Lytechinus pictus: one gene and its partners. The protein of the gene in region 2 interacts with the protein of the main gene of each other region in a pairwise test. Links are inferred from orthologs where the notes say so. Each region holds a gene or a part of one and is shown on either strand. Other genes may lie near its edges.

Region 1 (7,487 bases), on a different chromosome or scaffold from region 2:
TCCCTCCGTGGAAATTTTCAAATCACTTTCAAATCAAGTCACTTAAAACTCACCTTTTCTCATAACTTGTTTTCTTTTTTCTTTTTTAATGGATTGACTGTATATTATTATAATCTGCCAACCTGTGCGCTTTGAAACACCAGTATAAAGCGCCATACAAATGTTATTATTATTATTATTGATTTATCTATGCAGCAACCATCTGTTGATCTCTGAGATTATTAGAAGAAGCAGCTGTACTTTTAACTCCCCAGAGCCCAAGGAATCAAAAATACAAAAACAAATTTAGACAGAAACAAAACTCAACTCTTCATAAATGGGGATAGAGTCTAACGTTAGATCTACTTCTTTTGCTGAAAAAAAAATGCCTAGGAATCTGTCCGCATTAAAAAAAACAAAAACAAACATGCCCCATTACTTCTTTCTCCATTTATCCAACACTGATGGATGCACTAATGCCGACGCAATGTGAAGCCGGTGTTCAGAATTTGTTCCTTCTTAAGTTACTAAACTAAGAGTAAGACAGACTCTAGACTAATCTGACTTGGATCTAACGTTAGCTTAGAAGCAACAAATTCTGAACACCTTCCTTGACATGGTGGTGGTGACCTTAATTTGTGCATAATTACCTAAATTGCGCACGGTAGAATATCTCAACATCCAATCAATATCTTGAAACACTGATATCACCAATTAACAGAAAAACTTCAAAAAGCCACCCAAAATTACTCAGTATGGTAATTTTCTTGAAGGTAATTGGCAAAACATCAGCAAAGTTTGCTACCTTTTGCGTTCGCTCCGAGAAAATCCGAACTTCTCGACAAGCATCAAGAAATCACCAGTTTGCAAGCAGTCTTTTAAAAAAGGTAAAATGTGATACCAACTGAATTTATCATGTTTATGGCATTTTAACCTCCATCTGATACAATCATCTTTCCTTTGGCTTTGTCTGCATTATTTCTTTTCTAAAGCTTTGCTAAACGATCACGCGTAAAATAAGGTCACACATTTTTATGACACTTTTTCAGCCGAGCGTGCATTAGTCGATCACCATGGAATTTTGAGATCGCAATACCAGTAGGGTGTCTGAAGCCACACTGAAAAGTGTCAGCATAAAACACCAACAGGCTGATTTAGGGGGAAATATGGCACATTTTTTCTGGAAATTCAGGCTGCTATAAAAATGTGATCTGAATTAAATATTAACTTGTGTTTGGCATGTATGGAAAGAGAAAATTCAGGGGCTTCTTTTGACAGTAAGGACAAGTTTATAGGATTATTTGAAATGAGGATTTTGGAGATAAATTGCAAACCCTTATTTGTGTGTGTGTTAAGATTGCCATTTCCCCATGCGTTTTCTATGGGAAATGAAATTCTGTTTTGCACAAATTTTTCACTTTGTCGCAATTTTTCATTGTGATCTGGTTTCCAAATCTTTATAAAAATCATACCATCAGAATGAACATAAAAATTCCTATTAGACACTTTATAGACAAGTTTTTGGCATTAATAATAAATTTTTAACAGCTCTCGGAAGCTAAAAATTTGGATTTGTGTGTCCATTTCTTTACTACAGTCTATGGCAGGGAAACTTTGCTGAAAATTTACCTAATATCATTCTCCTTTTTTGCAGCCAATAATTTGATTTTTTTTTAATGTTATAATTGTTGTCATTCTGAAGGTTATTTCTCTTCAATTCAAATTCACAAAGAAAATGTGATATTTCTTGAAATAAGAAAAAAAAAAATTTTCTCCAGACACCCTACCACTTATTTATACCGGTAATGTTAGTCGGTAGTACGGTACCAGCAAAACCCTGCCCTTGACTACTTTATAATTCCATCAAGCGAATTTGACTTTTAGGATCTTGCCTTCCATTTGGTATTTATGATTTTGATTAATTTTTGTGTGAACTGTGAGTGTTAGAATTTTTTGATTGAAAATTAGCTTCATGTGATACGGTATATTATTTCTAAAGACTAAGAGTAAGACTAAAATCAACATGTGCACAAATTATGATCACCCCATCATAATTCATAGTATGGTCGGGGGTCCTAAAGCTGCGCGGGTCCTAAAGCTACGCACCACTCATAGCGCATGCAGTTTTTATGGCAAATGCGCACTCTGTGTGTGGAACTGTGACTGCAGATCTGACGAACGATTCCTAATCAATTTTTTCTACAGAGGTTGCAGTAAATCTCTAAATGCAGAGAAAACAAACAACTATTTGGATTTTTGGAGTTATATTCGCTTTAATTTCATTTTATCCTATAATAATGTGAATATATTTTAGAAATTGAGGCACAGGAAATACTATTTTTTTGCATGATAAATCGAGTGCGTAGCTTTAGGACCCCTTCTACATCGGGCGGCGAAATCAAGAGGTGTTCGGAAAACATGGCGGGATTTTCGTGTTAGTGAGTTTTGCGATATTTTCTTCTTGGTTAATGATCTTCATAATGTTTGCCACAAATTAGTGAAAGATAATTTGTTGAAATATTAAATTTAAAATTGGGATAGTTTTTGTTGTTTGAAAACAAAGTGCGTAGCTTTAGGTCCCCCCATCATACATTCATTATCACTGCCATGGCATACGTGTAGATAAAGTCATAAAGAGATACTTTCTAGCGTGAACAACTCTAAAAATCAGGCTTGTTTCAGCGATAAAGTTAAATATTTCGCCGCCACTATGACTATATAGCCTAATTAAGTCGCTAGCCGCAGTCAGTTTGACAGTGGTCTCGCTCAGCGCTAGCTATCGGATAGGTCCAGCCGTCTTTTCGGTCAGTTATGTGCTCAGAGCAGCGCAGTGGTGCTGCTAAACTTTTTTGCTGCAGCTGCCTTTGCTTTACAACTTACCCGAGGTGTTTTCTTCTCAGTATTTCTGCTTACAAGAACAGGGTTATCATATTTGACTAGTGACGCATTTGGTGGAATCATTTTTTCGAGTTATAAAAATGAATATTCGAAAGAAATTGGGATAATCCGTTGGTTTGAAGAGAATTCTGATACAAACACGAACGAAGATATGGATTGTTGTCATGGGATACCCATAGAAACAAATTCCCATGATGCAGCTGCGCAAGCAGCTATGTCTTCCCGTCATGCATTATTCTCAAAGATGGCGACTTCCATGACCTGGCAAGGTGTGATAATTTTCCTCTATTTTTATTGTTTGTTAATTGGATCGTGTTATTTCTTTGTAATTAATGTACATATTTTAGTTAGGGGTGTAATTAGCGTGATGTTGAGTCGTATTTGGGAAACATTTTGGTTGTTTTTAATGTAGTAAACGCGTTTTTATCGATGGTCAGGGGAGGTGGCCGGGGTCGTTGATCGACGGAACCGACGAAGCTAGCCAGCGTGGCCGTGGGCTGGTCGGCGCTCCCGACGATGCTCCGGCCGTCGGGTGTGTGGACCATGCCGGTATAGCCTATAGGCAGGGCTCCACACTAACCCTTTTTTTTCTACTGGTCCAACCTATGGCATAATTGTACTTGATGCCCCCAGGGGACATCAACTTTTTACCTTGATTCGTGGATCCTCGACCCGACCCTGTTTATCATCGGCGAGTTGATATCCATCCGCGCGTGGTTCGGTTGATCGCGCAACAAATAAAGTAATTGGGGGCATCAAGTGCAAGTAATATAAGAGAGACAAGCTTTAGCTCTCAAGGTTACATTAGCTATCAAGGTTAATTTTGCCAACAAGGTTAATTTTGGCTGCAAGGTTAATTTTGTTGAAATTTTTGGGGGCATCAAGTACAAGTAATATAAGACTAAGAGAGACGAGCTTTAGCTCTCAAGGTTACATTAGCTATCAAGGTTAATTTTGCCAACAAGGTTAATTTTGGCTACAAGGTTAATTTTGTTGAAATTTTTGGGGGCATCAAGTACAAGTAATATAAGAGAGACGAGCTTTAGCTCTCAAGGTTACATTAGCTATCAAGGTTAATTTTGCCAACAAGGTTAGTTTTGGCTACAAGGTTAATTTTGTTGAAATTTTTGGGGGCATCAAGTGCAAGTAATTTAAGAGAGACGAGCTATAGCTCTCAAGGTTACATTAGCTATCAAGGTTAATTTTGCCAACAAGGTTAATTTTGGCTACAAGGTTAATTTTGTTGAAATTTTTGGGGGCATCAAGTACAAGTAATATAAGAGAGACGAGCTTTAGCTCTCAAGGTTACATTAGCTATCAAGGTTAATTTTGCCAACAAGGTTAATTTTGGCTACAAGTAGAGTTACCAAAAGGTCGGCCGATCCACTGAGCAAAATTGCTATGGGCAAATGAAAAGCCAATTGCAAGTGCGTAAACAGTGTGCATTGCCACCATCGTCTGTTCTCGACGGCAAAAATGAGCATTGAAATGCTTTTCCTCAGCAAATTAGTTCATCTTAGTGAAAAAAATTAGGCCCTGTATTTTCTATATTAAAATTGACTTATGTGGGATGAAGTGTCTTACCTTCATGTGGTATCGAAAGTGACGTTTGGAGGTTAAATCCACGAGAAATCCACAGAGTTTCGTCGCGTGTATTCGCTATGGAGAAAAATGCGTGCGATCGCATGCGTTATTGCAAGCTCGAGACGGCGCTGTTGAACTTGGTCTGGAAATTCATAAAAAATAAACAAAAATCCTTGAGTAGGCTCACAATAAAATCATAAAAAATATGCTTTATGGCTAAAACGGTAGTTCTCTTGCCCACACATATCATACTTGTTGTTGCGTAAGAAATCCTTTTTTCATGATAAATATATAGCAATAAATGTTTTAAAAATTATGTTTTCCACATGGAATATGTTTGAAACATCTATATTAGAAGAAAAATGTTTTTTTTTAATGAATTCAAACTAAAATGAAGTTTATACATGCTTGCACTTTTTCATACTACTCAAAAAACAAAATGGGCCGTCAATCAACGTTGGTTACCTCGGCAAGTAGGCGTGGTCTATCGTGAAGTTCGCTGGTGACGTACCTTTCTCGCTAGACTTTACTCAGCCGCCGAATTTAATTCATTCTCCGCGCACGTGCAACTGCAACTTATTATCGTCACTGCACTGCTGGTGTTTGCCGCATTGAGGACAGATGATACAATTCAGATAGAGTTGCGCGTGTACAATGAGTGAAACAGCGCGATCGTTTCATGATCGAATGAAACAGTGTGCCTGTCGAGATAAAATTCATCTGCCATGTTATTTTCTATCGTGTTTTATGCAACTGCAATTGATTTGTTATATTATTTTCTTTGATATTTCCTGTATATGTATGTATGAATTTTATTTGAAGTGAATGAATCATGCTGGTGTCCTTGCCATTGAGGCAGATGAAGATGAAACAACACTGATAGAGATGTGCGTGTACAAGGAGTGAAACAGCGTGATTGTTTTATGATCGAATGAACAGTGTGCCTGTCGAGATAAAATTTATCTGTCATGTTATTTTCTATGATGTTTTATACAACTGCAATTAATTTTTTTTTCTGTGATATTTTCCTGTTTATGTATAAATTTTATTTGAAGTGAATTATTATAAAGATTAATCCAAAACAAAGCAAATAATTGTCGGCTTCATTGTATTCGTGATGAACAAGTTAAGGTATCACAAAATGATGCTTATTTTTTTTATTTGAATGACTTTGAGTAAATTGGAATTGAAAAGGACGTTTAGTGTTTCCTGTTCAGTGCAATTTTTGTTTTCTTTTTTTCATTTCACATTCTCGGGATGCGAACCTCCACTATAATTATAATTAATGAATACCATTATAAACAAAAATATTTGAAAAAAAAAGACTCGCAAAAATTTTAATACTAGTGCAACGGTGATTTTTTTTTTGTTTTTGTTATTTCATTTACTGGGAGGTACGACAGACAAATACCCGGTGTAGATCAAAATTTTGCTAATGGGGGGGGGGGGCTACAATTTTTACCTTTTTAATTTTCGCACCGCCAGTAGGAGGGGTTGCCGCCGCCCATAATTGGGTCCGGCACCTGGATCTGCCTATGGAATGGATGAGGAATAAGGAAAGGGGAGAAAAATAAAGGTGCCCCCTCCCGTAATATATCAAATATTTGTTAGTGGATTTTGTCGTTCATTCTCAAGTGAGGACTTATTTTTCAACTTTTCCCAGGAATTTTGTGTATGGAATGATTTTTTCTTAGCATACTAGGTCTTGAATGCCCCCACTTTGGAAAATCCTGGATCAGCCCCCGTCAAGGTGTATATAGATGAAACTAAACTTGAATAGGGCTCCACATTAATGATTTTCAAAATTTAGCCATTTCCTATTTTCCCCGTTTAACACTGTGAGGTGAATAATTCAAATGCTTTCCCCATCCCATCGCTACCATAGAAGGATCCAGGGGGGGGGGGTCATCCCCCCCTTCCCTGTTGGCGGATTAAAGACCAAAAAATGGAGAAAGGAAGATTAAGAAACAGAAGGGAAAGAGAGGGGGAAAGGGAGGGAGAAAAGTGAATAAAATTAGGGAGGGGAGGCTTTGATGATTTAAAAGAACATGCAAAATTGAAATTTTCGCTCGCGCTTCGCACTCGCATTGCTTATTTTCGATGAGTACATATTGCTCAATAGGCTGATATATATGAGCTTGACATTTAAGCTTTGCAGTCAAAATACAAAACAAATACTGTACGGTCAGCTAGGACATTGAACTTTCATTATTCTTTTTGATTTATACCTCGGTCACATTTGCTCTGCGGCGGCCGTACGGAGAGTCGAAATAGCCGTTTTATTCATTTTTATTCAAACCACCTATATTGTGCTTAATTTGACCTTTTCACATCGGAATATCCAATATTATCAGTTCGCGCTTCGCGCTCGCATTATTGATTTCCGTGGTAAAAAGTGTATTAAGAATGCACAAATTCTAGAACACGCATGTTTATTGAGAAGGACGGGCTGCTTATCCTTTATTGAAAACAGCATGCTTAAATTATCTCGCTTCAGATTATAATATAAAAAAAATTCTTCTCGCTCTTGCATTATAAAATAATGTAAGACGGTAACCAATTACCCACCCTTTTCACGATTTAGAAAACATAAATATAAAATAGTGTTCCTTTTAGGTCTATATATCTCAATTGTTATCCGCTCACGCTTCGTGCTCCCACTGTGTTCTGTTCATACACAAAGTGCTTGGAATGTCCATTTTTATGGTCAGAATTTCAAACATTTTAGCTCGAGCTTTGCGCTCGCATTATTTTGATTGAAATATGCATCGTTTTCTTGGCTAACTGTAAACCGCCATTAGCAAGTCCCTTTTCGATCAGGCCAGAACGTATATTTCTCTCTTTTCTTACTTACTTTTTTTTTTGCTCCTTCGCGCTCGCAGCAATTTTAGTAAAATACGCATCTTGTTCAAGTTCACAAACATTGCCCAGAATGTTCAATTTTGAGGATAAAAAACATGAAATTTCAAAAATATTTTAGCTCGCGCTTCGCACTTGCACTATAGGGGCTATGAGATTATTGTATA
Region 2 (7,887 bases):
TGAAAATCTTAGTCAAAGTCACATTTTACACCAATGAAATGCCCTTCTACAGTCCATATTACTAAAAATCTGGTGTACCCTGATTATTTGCAAGCATTAAAAAGAGGAATTATGACCTCTCTTTTGACTCAAAAAGACCGATTTCCAAATGAATTAATACACATAAAAACCCATAGGTGAGTACATCACAGTCCCATGTGTGCATTTGTATGTATGTTGATACTTTGTTTCTTTCGGAGCTGTGTCTTTTCTAGCCAAAAATAAACAGTTTCTTTCTTTCTTGTTTATACATGACTTCTTAAACCACTCTTGAGAAAGTAAATACTTTGGGAAGTCATTTCATTAATATGAAATGTGAATTTTTCCAACATTTTGGCAAATATAGGGAATGACTTTTCTCACACTTTTTTCTTCCAGGATATATAACTTATGTCATTTTCTTTTTTTTTCTTTCATTTTTTTATGCCCCTTCCCATTGAATAAGCCTGATTAAAGAATGTTTCTACTAAAAAATAATGCAAACTAAAGGATATAAAAATAGAAATGCGCCATTACCAAAAGATAAGTGAAAATTATTTGCTTGGCTTTTAATTATATTCCAGTCAGAATAGACTGTTAAAAAATATTTGTAATGGCTTCTTAATTTTTCCTCCTTTCCCCCATTTTTATATAAATTTTGTTTGATTCATTTTTCTTTTATTTTCTTTTGTTTATTTTATAGTCTAAATCTTTTTTCTCTTTTTCTTTTAATTTTTTCCTGTTCTTTGTTTTTTCTTCATTTTCTTTCTTTTGTTTTATTTCACTTATTTCTTTTATTATTATTGTTTCCTTTTTGTAATATACTTTTTGAAAATTATTTTTGTTTGTTTCCCCCTTTTATGCATTGTTCTAATTTTGCAGCATATTTTTCTGTGATTTTCTCCTGCTATAATATGATGCAAAAGAGAAAAAAATTAACTGGATTTGGGGCCTCCATAATCTAGATTTTAGGATTCAAAGAGGAAGAAAGGAAAAATCATTGTTTTGTACATCTATCTGAGTTTGCTATGCAGTATTTATTTACTTTTCCATTATGAATCTGTGTCTATACGGAGATTTTTTTTAAAGTCCACACAATTCATTTATTCTCTTTCAATCATTTCATATAAATGATAGAAGTTAGAACAATCTATATTTTACCACAAATCAATTAGCAAAGTAAAATACAGCAAACAAGGTTTACACACAAGATGTACAAAGTGAAAGTAACTTAGTGGTAGTGGCTGCAGAATTAATCTTTCAGAATGTTTAATGTTTTTTGCTTTATATTTTCCGGGCCACCAAACTTCAATATCGGGCCACCAAAAAAAATTATTTGAAGGTTTTGGTGGCCTGAACGGGCCACCACCGAAAAAAGTTAATGTGGAGCCTTGAATATTCAGTAGCAGCTATTCATATTTCATGTTCTATGTATATTCATAAATTATTTTATTGGTTGTCTGTGCTTATTAGAATATTCATTATTTCTCTTTGCCATGCAAACCAAGTATGTAGACATGTATGCAAAATAAACCCCCAAGGTTAAAATCGTGATCTGGCTCAGGGCAGATCTATACAGGCAAGCAGGGGGTGAACACGTGTATGTTGTACAACTCTTTTTGGATAGACCATGCCTAAATGTTAGCCCTAGGCCACCCTACAATTGATGGAAAATATTGGTGGCAGCATTATAAGACATTGTTATATTAAAGGGATCGTTTAACTTTGTGAGCAGCTGATTTAAAAAATTCTCAAACTGAGTTGAAACGTGCGTATGAGTGCCTGTATTTGTCCTCAAAAACCCTGAAACAGACCACAATATAGGATGAAAAACTCTAATTTAGATACAAGTAGCAATTTATTAGCCTGATTTTGAGAACCGTCTAGTAGACGGGTTCAGCTTATGACCAGTTTTCTCCAATTCAAAAAGTCTGTTGGCTATTTTGCCTGCCTTCTGTTGTGTGTATCTTCTATACACACACTATTAGCTGTACTGTACATTCAGTGTATACCTTGTACACACTGTATGTAGGTCATGCTGTGTTCATCTAGAATTAATGTGTTGTGGTGCACAGATTCCCTGTATACACATAGTCATTGAAACCAACTCCCAATTATTTCAAACTTTGGTTTACATCTCCAAGGTTTTAAAATTGATCCTGTAAATATAATACTTTGAAACTTTTGGGATGGTATTTTTACACTATAAGCCTAATGTTTAGCCCATTTTCAGGAACCAAAAGGAGAATTTTTTAAATCAGAACAAAGTGAAATGATCACTTTAAGCTGTCTCTGCATTTTATTTCATTATAAATTTGTTTACCTTGTATATATTGTTTTAAATTTTGAATGAATATAAACAAATTGAAATGTATATGACACGCATATAGAGGGCGACATGATATTGTGCTGCTGCGTGTCGTAGCTTAGCTACAAACAAAGAGGGCAAGATGGCAACGTAAACATCGGTACGTTACATCCAATCTTCTCATAATAAATTTGTTTTGTTTTTTTAATTTACATTGTTTTAAAAATGTAATCAATAATGCATAATTATTGGAAATGAAGTTCTAGCCCATTTACATGATTTAGGGCAAGAACTTTTACAAGGTAGAAATCTCGGGGGCGAAAGTTGCAACTTTGATCGTCCTACTTATACTACGCACATGATGGGCACAATTCCTGGCTCCGCGAGCCCGTAGTCGTGGAGAATATTTAATTTAGTTAATGATTTTTACTCCTGGCTAGGCACAAGCTAGTGCAAAATCATTTCATACACTGTCTCACAAAGACACAAGGCTCACACAGTCACAGTCATGACAGTCACGCCTACATATTGCAATTTGCATTCATTGTGCATTCTGCCATTCAATTGATCCCCCCTCACACATTCACAATCTCCATTCAATCACAGTGCACACAGTGCAGTGACAGTCAGGTGAGTCAGTGGGAGTGATTCTCGATACTCACTTTGCATCTTTGCCAGTGCTCGTCGTATCGTCGACTGATGTCGAGCTCTGCTGGTGATTTTTCAAGGCCTCAAAGGACCTGGCCAGCTTCTCCATGTTTGATACACTGACCGCTCGATTCATGATGACCGGTTGTAGTCAGAATTCACGAATTATCTTGAAATTTCCACCATCATCGCAGGCGAATTCACGGTAATCCAAAAGCTAGTCATCTTTAAACGTAAGAGGGCGGCAGATATCTGCTTCGCATTTTGTTCATGCAAATTTGGTGAAATAAATGAAGATATAAAAAGCAAGCTGAGGTCTCAGTTTTACATAAAAACTAAAGTAATTTTCTTTTCTTTAAACATAACTTAGATAGTGGGACTATATCATAGATAGAGGTATGGAGTATAATCACCTAGAGAAAAAAAATGGGCATGTGCTCTCTGTACTTGTTAACCCCTAAGGGGCGTGAACATCATTCTAGGTCTCGCAAAAATCCCCCCCCCCCCCAAAAAAAAAAAAGAAGAAGGAATTCAGCTGTGTGATATTGAGACACAACAAACACTTGCTAATTTTTAGACTTTTGGACATAAATCAAAACAAAATTATACGTTACTTACTAAAATCTAAGTATTTTTTATGATCAAATAATATCATATAGACCAGCTGGATTAAGTATCAATAATTGCCGTTTGTATCCATCACATTTCGGCTCTTGACACAACGATCTTTTTAAACCATCTAATTGTCTATCTATATTCAAGAAAATTAATTTTGGTATTATTATTCCCCCCCCAAAAAAAAAAAGGAATTCAGCTGTGTGATATTGAGACACAACAAACACTTGCTAATTTTTAGACTTTTGGACATAAATCACAACAAAATTATACGTTACTTACTAATCTTAGTATTTTTTAAAGATCAAATGATATCATATAGACCAGCTGGATTAAGTATCAATAATTGCCGTTTGTATCCATCACATTTCGGCTCTTGACACAACGAACTTCTTAAACCATCTAATTGTCTATCTATATTCAAGAAAATTAAATTTGGTATTATTATTTTATCAATTAGCCCTATACATTTCATTAAAATTGTATTATTTTATGAGAATCGCACAGTGATCCCATTATTTATTTGCCTGTGATATTCGGTGAATTTCAATAAAAACATACATGTAAATTTATGTGGACATGAGAAACATCTATCTATCTACATGTGTATTTTAAAAAATTAATCAAACTTGTTTCGATTTCTGACATAGATGGAATAGCTAGCTCCTCACAATGTAGAACACAAATTCATTTCTTGAATAGTTAACTATATTATGCAAAGATCAACTTAACGCTATGAAAAAATGGTGTCCTACCACATTCTTAAATTATTGGTATTTTCCTTTATGGATATCACAATAGTATGAAAATTCAATGTGGTATATAGGAAAGGTCTGGAAGAGAGATGGTTATTGAATTTCAAGACCTTGATTGATGCTGTGTATTTTCTATAAACTGTTAAATGAATGGCGGCGTTCCACAGTCAAAATGAGACCCATGGTGTTTTACTTTTGTCCATTATGTTGTACTGCAACAAAAAATTAATATGTAAAGGTTCGTGTTCTATTCTTTTTTCCTATAGGACTTTCAAGTTCGCCTCAGTAAATTGTATAAATCCTCGTAACTTTGTCAAATCCAATGTTAAGTTTGAAATACCCACAGCTTTCCGGTCCAGGATAGAACAACTAAAGGATAAAAGTGTTGGGACTGGGGGCCATGTGGCCATGTATTGTATCATGTTCATCATATCATTTTCTATCCTTATCTACTCAATTCTTACATATAGACGGACACAGAGGGCCGAAGCGCCCCCCCCCCCTGAGTTAGTAAAGCAAAAAAAGAGGAAAAAAGGGGGAAAATTGAAAAAACGAAGGAGAGAGGGGGAGGAAAGGATTTTTTTTAATTGAGTCATATAAACATAAAATTTTCGCTCGCGCTTCGCGCTCGCAATGCCTTTAGAGTGAGACAGTAATCTGCTCAAGAGGATATTATGAGGGATTATGAGGCCGAAAAGTATCACGTTTTCAAGTCAATAATTACAAATTATTCTGCTCGAGATTCGAGTTTTCATTATTTTGTTTGAGTGTGATACGCATCTAGTTCATAATTACATAAAATAATGTCTGGACTAGAAATGAGTCAGCTTGCGGCCTCGCCAGTACTGGGCCTTGCATGAGCCTGAGGCGCTCTCATTTTAATGCGATACGAATATCCTTTTGATTAAAATTCCTGAATGCCATTGAATGGTCCCTTTTCAGATCATTAACATCAAGTATTTAATTAAAGCTAGCAGCCTCGCGCTTTGCATTCACGGCATTGAAGATAAGCATCCTGTTCATGATTACAAAACGTACTTAAAATGTCCCGTTTATAGGTATAAATCGGCTAAAATTTTCAACCAGCGCTTCGCGCTCGCATCATGTGAGTTCCATATCCTCTTCACAATTTTCCTGCATGTTAAACAGTGTTTAAATGTTTAGATTCTTTCGTTTCAACACATAAAAAACACACTCTGGCTTCGCGCTATTATTATCTAGTTAGATACAATCCTTTCATGATTACAAAAAGTGCATAGCGGAATGTCCCATTTTTAGATTAAAATCTAAAAACCAAATAGCTAGGGCTTCGAGCTCGTATATTTTGTTCAACAGGGTTTTTTTTCGCGTCCGCATAAATGGTATACCTGTACATTTCATGGTTACAAAAAGTACCTAGTTTTCAGGTCGGAATATGAAAAAAAAACCAACAGCTTGTGCTTCGCGCTCTCATTATTTGATTATAGTGAGATGTGAATCATTTTTACAGTGGCGGCATCAGGATTTATAAACTGGGGGGACTAAGGGCAAACGAAAAGTATGGGGGAAGAAGGGATTTGTTTTGTTGTTGCGTATTTCACAGAATCAAGTGTGAAGAGCGAGTTTTAGTGACTTGGGTGCTTGGAATCACATTTTGGGGTATGGATCGAGGAGTCCAGGGGCAGATCACACATAGGCGTTTCTATTACAGTTTATAAAGCGGGATTTCGACTGCCAATACTCAATAGGAAAGAGGGAGTAAAACTATTTTCATGCACATTATATCCCCGATCACCCCCTAGAAGCTAAGTTTTGTTTATGTTTTATAGAATGGGGAGTCCTAACCAGGGTCATGGGAACGATTATTTGATTGGGGGTGCTGATGTAAATTTGACAAGCAAAAAAAAATACTACAAAATGAAAGTAATTTGAGTCCGCAGAAATTTGACAACCCCCCCCCCCCCCCAAAAAAAAAAGCTAGGGTGAGGGTCTGTACAAAATTTAGGTAATTTTTGTTACATTTTTCAATTTCGTCTCACCTTCCAATACCAGGGGGTGCTGCCTATATGGAAAATAATACACGCATCACCCCCAGCGGCCCCGCTTCCCAGGGCCATGGTCCTAACTAAGACTGGAGATTAGCATAGTTTATAGTTACAAACAAGATAATGTATCTCGCATGGCCTAAATGAATAATGCGCAGCGAGCTGAGCTCAATTCTTTCAAAAATATTTTATGTATTAATTAGACCCGAAAATTGAACATTCTGCGCAGTTTTTGTATATTCGAGAACGGAGCGCGCGCTGATTTTTATTTTTTATTTTTATTCATTGACTTAAAAAGATACCTGTTAAGGACTGTTTGCAGTGACTTATGAAAAAGGATGTCTCAACAAACAAATAATAGGAGCGCAAAGCGCGAGCTGATTTTTTTTTAATATTCCGAGTTGATAACTAACGTTCTAAGCACATTTTTAAAACCACGAACAGGGTGGGTATCTAATTAAACAACTGATGGGTGCGCCTAGCGCAAGCTGATATTTTTTCATTTAGCACTTTAGAACAGGATGTGTATCTTGCAAAAATCAAATAAAGAGAAGAATGATTTGTGCAGATTGACTTGAAAATTTGATATTTTAAGCCCCATTGAGTAGATCGCTTATTATTATACGCAACAGCCACTGCGAGCGCGAAGCGCGAGATAAAGTTGGATTTTTATATAGGCCTAATGTATGGAAGGTTAAAAGTGCCATCCAGATGTTCATATAATCATCTCGTCATGTTTACATCTCGTGTGAGAGATGATCAGATGACAAGATTCTTGATTTTGTCATGTCTTCATCTTATAGAAAAGATGATCAGATGGTTTCGTCATGGCTACATCCTGTGGGATAGATGTTCAGATGGCAAGATCTTGGATCTCGTCATGTCTACATCCTGTGTGAGAGATGATCAGATGGCAAGATCTTGGATCTCGTCATGTCTACATCTTTTAGAAGAGATGATCAGATGGCAAGATCTCGGATCTCGTCATGTCTAAATATTTTAGAAGAGATGATATGATGGCAAGATCTCGGATCTCGTCATGTCTAAATGATTTAGAAGGGATGATTGTAATGAACATCAGGGTGGCACTTTTAAGCTTCCATACTAATGACCTAATGTTATGACTAACAGTTACCATGTGAGAAAATCTTGAACAAATTGAAGAGTGAAAATCCTGTTTCTAGAGCACTTTACAGCTCGAGTAGGATGCTTCTGCTGTCTTCCCCTGTCTCTCATGTCTTCGTTCCAATTCCTACTCTCTTCCCCGGCTCTCTTCTCACTCTTCACCCTTTATTCTTCCTTTCTCTTTCGCTCTTATTTCTTGTTTTTGTCTTGCCAGCGTAACAGCTAGAGCGAGACTATAGGCACCGCTTTTCAGACGGCTGCGGACTCGGCGTCGTCAACATTGAAATCATAACCAAGGTTAAGTTTTTGAAATGTCATCATAATTTAGAAAGTATATGGACCTAGTTAATGAAACTGGATATATTAACATTAATCAGGTATATAACTGAACATC
Region 3 (7,842 bases), on a different chromosome or scaffold from region 2:
AAATAACGAGAGCGTAGAAATGTCGGAAATGAAGTTTAATCCCATGTACATCACTCCCTAGTACATGATTTTAGGGCTAGATCTGAAGGAAAGTAGAAATCTCGGGGGTGAAAGTTTCAGGTTTTTTGGGGTCCTTCGTGTAGGTGAATGAGAAGGAAGACCTGGCTTCATTGAGAGTAAGCCTACGTTAGTAAATGATTTTTACTCTCTAACTTAGAAGCCTCCTGGGGCCTGTTGCATGACGAGATGAGCGATACGTAGGAACGTCCTAGGACCATTCTTCCGAGATAGGAAGATTGGCGACAAATCAGCGCTTTCCGTTTCACGAAGGCAATTTTGTCTTCCAAGTCCGCGACATCGTTTGATATCGATAGTATCGGAAAAATATTTAGTCTTCATCGTCACCTGAACCTTTTATTTCTGAATGACGACTTTACATAAAATCCGATATTTCAATAAAAGGAGATAAAATAATGTTTTATTTATTACTGATAGTAGAATTGATGTATGGAGCTTACTTTATGAGGTTAAAAGAGAAAAAACTTTAAAGATTCACAAACATAACTAAATAAAATCGAAATTTTCATTATTTCCCTTATTTAGAACACGGTGTCTTTTTAGAGACACCTTTTATTGATATTTCAACGAAAGAGACCCTTGTCCGACATAAAAATTGATTTAACTAAGTAATTTCGACATTTATTAGTTCAATATTCTGTATTTTTATAGAATACTTGTATATAATGATAATTTTATAAATTATGCGTTAATATGTTATTTGTTGAGGTAAATATAGGGTTTAAATGGAGTAAACAAAATCAACAGTGTCTGATTGTATGAGACTAAAAAGGAAAATATGAGAGGCTGCGTGTGAAAAATCTAATTTATTTATTTTATTTGTCAGATATAACGCAAGAAATACAAATGTGAGTGTTTAGAGTATAAACATACCTCAGTTGCATGATGAGTAACAGAAGAAAATGAAAATATGAAAATTGCTGCAAACATGTCCAAGTGGATAAAGTATATAGTACTTTGCAATAATAATTAAAACATTGAAAAAGGTGTGAATCAATTCGCAATGGAAAAAATACTTTTACAGAAATAATGCTAAATATGACAACGATCATAAACGCTGGTCATATTTAAAGATGATCACTTAATTTATGGAAGTTTATATAAGAATATAAGGTTTAAGAAATAACATAAAAATATATATGTTCAAAATTTCAAAGTTAAGGAGTATAGAGATTATATGCTATGACATAAGGGCCGAAAGGGGCCTACCCTAAGATTTAAAATGCGCCTCTTCGTATGGACTTTCCATAATCTTTTCTTTAATGAACTTATCTTCATTTGTAATGGTTGTGATGGATTCGTAAGCTATAGGCTTGATCTGTATCTTAAATTCAATATTAGCTGCAGGTTTTTTGTTTTGTTTCACTGTTTCAAATCCAACAATTAATTTTCATTGATTAAAATAAATCTCAGCAAAAAAACAATAATTATAATGAAAATAAAATAAAAATAAATAAATGATTTAGCATGTTTAACATCTTAGTTTAGTTTGTCTTGTTTTTTTTTGCTGAATGTTATTGAACACGTTTTTTACCTTACATAATTTCTTTTAAAGAAATTTGTTGTTTATCTATAATGAGAAAGCATGAGGGGTCGGCTAAAGAGATATAGTGCCGCCCATTTCAAGTATTTCAAGTTTATTTTTTAATAGAAAAGGGGTGGGGATAAGACGGAGGGAGAATAGAAGAAAACATATTTAAAAAAATATTTGGCCCTAGTTACCCCCGGGAATAATACATGTACCCCGGAGAAGTTAAAATGACATCCGTTTTTGGTCGTCCTGCCGTGCAAAAAGATGACCTGAAATTGATGACAACTAGACCCCATATAAAAAATAACTTGGCGCCATCCCAGATAAAATGCATCAGAGTGCAACCAAAAAAATGTTTAGAGGTGATATGTCAGTGTGGCTTGCCGTAAATGCATTTTCTCTCAATGCCGACGGTGGCGGGCGGTGTGCAAATGAGATCATGCCTACGTAGGACATGTCTGGAGGTGTCTTTCCAAGGACCATTCTTCGTATCGCCCAAATCGGCTTTGTGAAACAGTTGAGCGATATCTCGTTCTTACGTAGAATGGTTCTACCAAAGACCCTTTCATGCAACAGGCCCCTGGCTACTCCTGCCAGTCCTGGCTAGTCAGAAGCCCATTTGTTTTGTGTGTGTATGACAACAAAAATCCTTATCAAATTAGACGGTGAATTTTTAAAGTAGACTAGATGCCAGACGGGACTCATGAGGGTGAAAAGGGGTAATTGTTCATGAGGAATCTGCTTATCACATTTTATTTGCTGCCAATGACAATGTAATCCTTTTGCAGCAAATGTAAACAAAGGAAATTGGTCTCCCAAACTGGAGACTGTCTCTGAAATTGGATACAGGATAGATCTAACTTTTTTAGAATTTAGGCCTAGGGCTAGGGCTAGAAAAATAGGGGCCCTAGGCCTACCCAAATTCAATACAAAACTTTCAAAAGTCAAAAAGACAAGTCTAATCTATCTCATAAAACATTGCCATTAAGCTGCAAATAGTCCACATACACTCCCAGTCACAGGAGAAAATTTCAAAAGGCCATTGGAATAAATATATAAAAAATCTTTAAAAAATAGGCGACCACCATTAAAATAAAGATTGCAGCATTGCACAAAAGGGTCAGTGATTTGGCTCGTGTGCATTTCAAGTGTATGCATCATGGAATTATGGTTTTCCGCCATTCAATCGCGTGCATGCTAAATCGCACGCATTAGGCAATACTACCCCCTTGCCTACGAGTCTACCTAGGCCCGGGTTAAGTGAATCAAGTGGTAAATGATCACAATTTTTATGGTATAACATGCTAAAGATATAGACTAGAAATGTTTAAAAGTGATACATAAATAAATACAAATTATGTATGATGAGCATCAATCCTCTCATTACCCGAAAATGTAAATCAAAATCACTCTTTTGTAGATCTTCACAACCTTTCCTCGCACAGTTTTATCTCCAATCGGTAAATTCCAACGTGGCGTTTCAGCGCCATCTACGGTGATCGCGATATAGTGTGTGCATATGACGTACTTACTTCGTGGCTTATGATTGGCTCTCTTTCCGCAACTAGATTTGAAACGTATTCATCACACGCGCGGCAAGTCGAGTCATGCAAGTGTACGGTGAAACATCGAGTTATGCCCATTGTTTTTCGATGTTGTAATATCATACGGTGAGTATATTATTACAAATTTATAAAATTCGATGTCTTAAAAATATGAATACCCATGATTATAATTTTCCTTGTAAGATGTACTTCAATGACGAAGAAATTTCATTCGGTGTTGTGCAGTGTTCAGTCACTGACTGACTGAGCTGACTGAATCGTCGGTGTTGTGTGTCCATTCATTAACAATGGAATGTGTGTGTGGCGACTGGCGTGTTTACATCAATGCCAAAGGGTGATTTCAATTTATTTTCAGTGTTGAAATCTGGTTTTGACCTCAGAAAATATGAGTAGACTCATATATATTATGATTAACTTTGTTGAGCAGATAATTGATAATTTAACTGTACTATCATGACTATAGTATAGACTTGTATCACATGTCATTAGAATGATTAGTCATATTCATTATTGACCGTAATTTAATCACTTGACTTAATCATGTCTTTTTTTATAATAAATTATTAATATAGCTCTCCAGACCAGAAGGGAGGGAGACATAAGTTACTTGTTAGTTTGAGGACTCCATGATGATGTCTTAAGTTAAAATACAATACGTTTGACATGATTAAATATACAGATTTAATGGTTGGACCTACCCCTTAATTTATCGACCACCTAATTTCCTAAGCATCGTATCTGCGAAAATATTTATCAGTTTTACCTACATTTTGTCTAATTTGTGCAGAAAATTGAGCAGATCAGATTCCCATGCTTCGATCGACGACTCCGATTGAACGATTCTATTCGCGTATATATCGGCGAACAACGAATGTGACGATTTTAGTTTACATTTGCTCATTTGCACCCTTCTTTTGAAACCGACCGCCCCCGATACACTTTACGGCCGATTCTTGTCACAGTGGCGAAATATTTTGACTCATCCAAATCAGTTCTCTGAGTCTGATATCAAAATGCTAAATAGTATAGTGATCGACTGATCGTCTCACTACATCAGTAGAGGCGCACGGCCAATATGGGAGACTCTCTCCAATAGGGGAGACAATCTCCCACATTGGAGACTTGCTTTGCAAAAGGACAAATGAAACAACACCAACAAAAGCATGATTTTTTCCACCCAAAATTTTGTCTCACTGAGGTCAAAAGTAGCCAGGCGGCTTCTAGAGAGTAAAAATCATTTAAAGGAGAATGAAACCCTTGAAACTAGCTGAATCCATATCAAAGAGAAAAATCAAAGAAACATATTGTTGAAAGTTTGAGGAAGATTGAATGAATAATAAGAAAGTTATGAGCATTTGAATATTGAGATCACTAGTGCCATGTAGATCCTCTCATCGGCAATGCGACCAAGATCTGTGATATCACACACGTACAACTCCCTCATTACTTTAGTACTTATTTCACTTTTATTCTCACTTTTATAGAGTCTATCACAAGGTTAGGTGTTTTCTTTATGAGATGACAAGTACAGAGGTTTCACAACATTATATCATTGATGAATCGTTTGTCATATGTACTTCCACTGCGAGCTCCGGCACATGATTCGACGATTGACGACGGACATTTGTTCTAAAGCCGTTTCCTATCGGATTTCTTGCCCCGTATGAACAACCGTTTTTCGGCGGGGTTCGGGTCTAGTCAAAACAATTTTGATGAATTCTTACTAAATTTGTATCTTTTCCCCCTTTTTCTCTCGTAAATCGATTCTTGTTCATATGGACACTGCGCCTACTCCCCCGCGCGTATCGTCCTTTAAGTTGGGTGCAAAACAAAGAATTTTTGTCTCATTGAGGTCAAAAGCTCGTTGTGGATGTTGTTGTTGTTCATTTTGGGCCTGTTTCACGCCCTACATTAGTAGTCTCCTCGGTAGACAGCTGGCAGCCGTCTGTTTCGAGGAGTTTTTAAACATTTTTTTTTTTAAATTTCTCCTCGTACACAGACGACTCGCTATCGTGCAGCCACCATTAGGGGGTTAACAATGCAAAATTCCCCCGACGGGGCTCATCAATTTTTGTCTTTATTTCATAAAAATATATAAAAAGAACTGTACCAAAATAAAGATTATCATGCCTTTATAGCCTGAAATGCACCAAAACGGGGAAAAATAAACTTAAAAGGGGAAAAAACAGTGACTTACTTCAGCTGTCGCGCAACTTCAATCCCTGTTTTATCCGAACTTAATACATTAACATATGGCCATTGAGTCCCTGTACAGATCAAGCTAGAACTTCGGTCTCTGTATTTGGTGAGTGGAGCCAACAGAGTTCAGCGGAACAACCAACATAAAAGAGACCGAAGCTTTTGGTCTATCTCCTCGGTAGACACTTGGTGTTGAGAACTCAAAGTCAAAGGTAGAAAAACTGCTAAGTAATTCAAATTGTTTTGTTGGCTAGTTAGGTGGCTAGATGTTAGCGCTGGTGGATGAGACAAATGGTGGATGGTATCGAACAAAATGCATTTGTACTTGTAGATCCGTATTAAAGGCAAACTGCTTACAGTGAAAATGTCAGCTTTTGCCATAGACTATCAATTAATCAAATGGGCACATTTGGAGTCAATAATTAAATTGGTTTGATTTGATTTGACTTGCTTGGAATTACCCCAAAATGGTAATGATTTGTTTTTCCCCCACAGGTTAGTCCATCAGAATAATAATTAAACTACAACAATGGCTGGTGATCAACCCCTCCTGGGGTTCAATATATACCATGATGCAGAGGCACACATCCGGCAATTCCTCCACGAGTTTGAATCCAAGCACATGAAGTATCTAGAAGAGGTGTTGATAACTGCCAAGGAGAACTTTGGAAGGTAGGCGATTCTCCTTGATCGTGGTTTCAGTGTAATCTCATCTCACTCTAAATGATGATATAGGTGATGTATGATAAAAGAAAAAAAAAACACAGAAAAGAATTGATGAAAGCTTGCCGAATATCTGCCAGAGAATGATTGATATCTACACGCGAATGAGAGTTGTGAACTTGTGATGTTATAAAGTTTTGAATTCACAACCTGACAAATGCATGTATGTGAGCAGCCGGTCCAGGGGGCCATTTCGTAAAGCTGTTCGTAAGTTAAGAGCGACTTTAAGAACGACTGGTGAACCTTTCTTACGTGCTAAACCATCGCCAATGGTGTATACCATTTACCAAAAGAAAGGATCACCAGTCACTCTTATCTTACGAACAGCTTTTTTTATGAAACACCCACCTAGGGGCCGTTTCATAAAGCTGTTCATAAGTTAAGAGTAATTTAGTTGAGCGACTTCAAGAATGACTGGTGAACCTTTCTTACGTGTCAAACCATCGCCAATGAACCAGTCGTTCTTAAAGTCGCTCTTAACTTACGAACAGCTTTACGAAATACCCACCTGGTGGATGTTTCATAAAGATGTTCGTAAAGTTACGAACGACTTTATGCACGACTGAAACATGTTCTTTAAGGTAAATGCTAGTTTTGGTAACGATATCAAAATGAGTTCGTACAGAATCCAATGAAATGACCACCAAAGTATCTGTTTGTATAAATAAAACGCATGTGCCAAAGGATTCTGGAAGAAATTGTGTAATTGCTGAGAAATCAGCAAATAAGCACAGGATTCGGGTAGAGCGTCGGGCCCGACGCTCAAAGCAATAATTATACACTGTCCCACGTGCACTTATCTGTGTTGGGGAAGTTCAGTCTGAACATTTTTCAGCGTAGATTTCAAGATTTCACAAAGTTCAGTTTATGTAACTGTACCAGATCTAGATCCTCGATGATATACTGACAATTAAGCCTGGTTTTACAGACTTTCTCATGAAATCAGTGTTTACTGCAACTACTGGAATTTCTCTTTAATAGGTCATAATCAATTACATAGAGATATCACATAGCACAAGAAAGGATCACCAGTCGATCTTAAAGTCATTCGTATCTTACGAACAGCTTTATGAAACACCCACCTGATGTCATAACTTTTCAATGGTTCACCTCACCATGACTGAATATAATTGTCCTTTAGGAGAGGGTGTGTCTGATGATTCTGAATGCACATGTTTCAAATAAACGTACTCGATTTTCTGGGGCATTTTGCAGAAAGAGTTGTGTTTAACTTTAAACGCAAGTCAAAATATCAAGCGCAAGTCCCGAATATGGGTGCTTAATTGGCTGAAAATCAATTAGCGCAAGATATTTTGAGTTGCATTTGATGATCGCAACTCTTTCTGCAACGGGCCCCTGGTGGAGGTTTTTCCTGTTACTTTTTGAAGTGCACTGAATGACTGAATAACGATTTTCATTAACAATATTTTTTTGGGGGGCTTTGTATTTACAACAAACCACAGGTGACAAATTGATATTTGCAGGTTTTTTAAATTTGAGTCAAAATCATAGTTTAATCAATGCTTTTAACTTCTTGCTTCCAACTATAGGGATGATGCCATACTCCTACCGAAGACCCCTGCTGTCAAGAATAGAACGCGTAAAGGTCGACGTGTTGCTCGGAGGAGTTCAGTTGAGGAAACTATACCATCTAAAAGGTAAGAAAGTCACAAAAGTCGCAAGTTTTTAATAAACTCAGATGAGCTGAGGGTATTTTAATTTGTCATGGACCAGTCATAGCCTTGG

The links.
Region 1: the proteins of huntingtin-like (region 2) and 33 kDa inner dynein arm light chain, axonemal interact in binary tests that used the Homo sapiens proteins (3 or more experiments, as listed by UniProt). The link is inferred for Lytechinus pictus from reciprocal best matches to the Homo sapiens genes HTT and DNALI1.
Region 3: the proteins of huntingtin-like (region 2) and coatomer subunit beta-like interact in binary tests that used the Homo sapiens proteins (3 or more experiments, as listed by UniProt). The link is inferred for Lytechinus pictus from reciprocal best matches to the Homo sapiens genes HTT and COPB1.

Annotation. Positions count from the first base shown.
Region 1 is NC_087245.1:30,453,833-30,461,319, forward strand, and holds the start of 33 kDa inner dynein arm light chain, axonemal, read right to left. Parts: upstream 3,105-7,487; 5' UTR 2,941-3,104; coding exon 2,860-2,940; intron 1-2,859. UniProt on the Homo sapiens protein: Involved in sperm flagellum assembly.
Region 2 is NC_087256.1:7,276,235-7,284,121, forward strand, and holds the start of huntingtin-like, read right to left. Parts: upstream 3,218-7,887; 5' UTR 3,111-3,217; coding exon 2,989-3,110; intron 1-2,988.
Region 3 is NC_087263.1:10,345,602-10,353,443, reverse strand, and holds the start of coatomer subunit beta-like, read right to left. Parts: upstream 3,105-7,842; 5' UTR 2,997-3,104; intron 1-2,996. Other genes in the region: inner centromere protein A-like, read left to right, coding at 5,903-6,045, 7,647-7,754. UniProt on the Homo sapiens protein: The coatomer is a cytosolic protein complex that binds to dilysine motifs and reversibly associates with Golgi non-clathrin-coated vesicles, which further mediate biosynthetic protein transport from the ER, via the Golgi up to the trans Golgi network.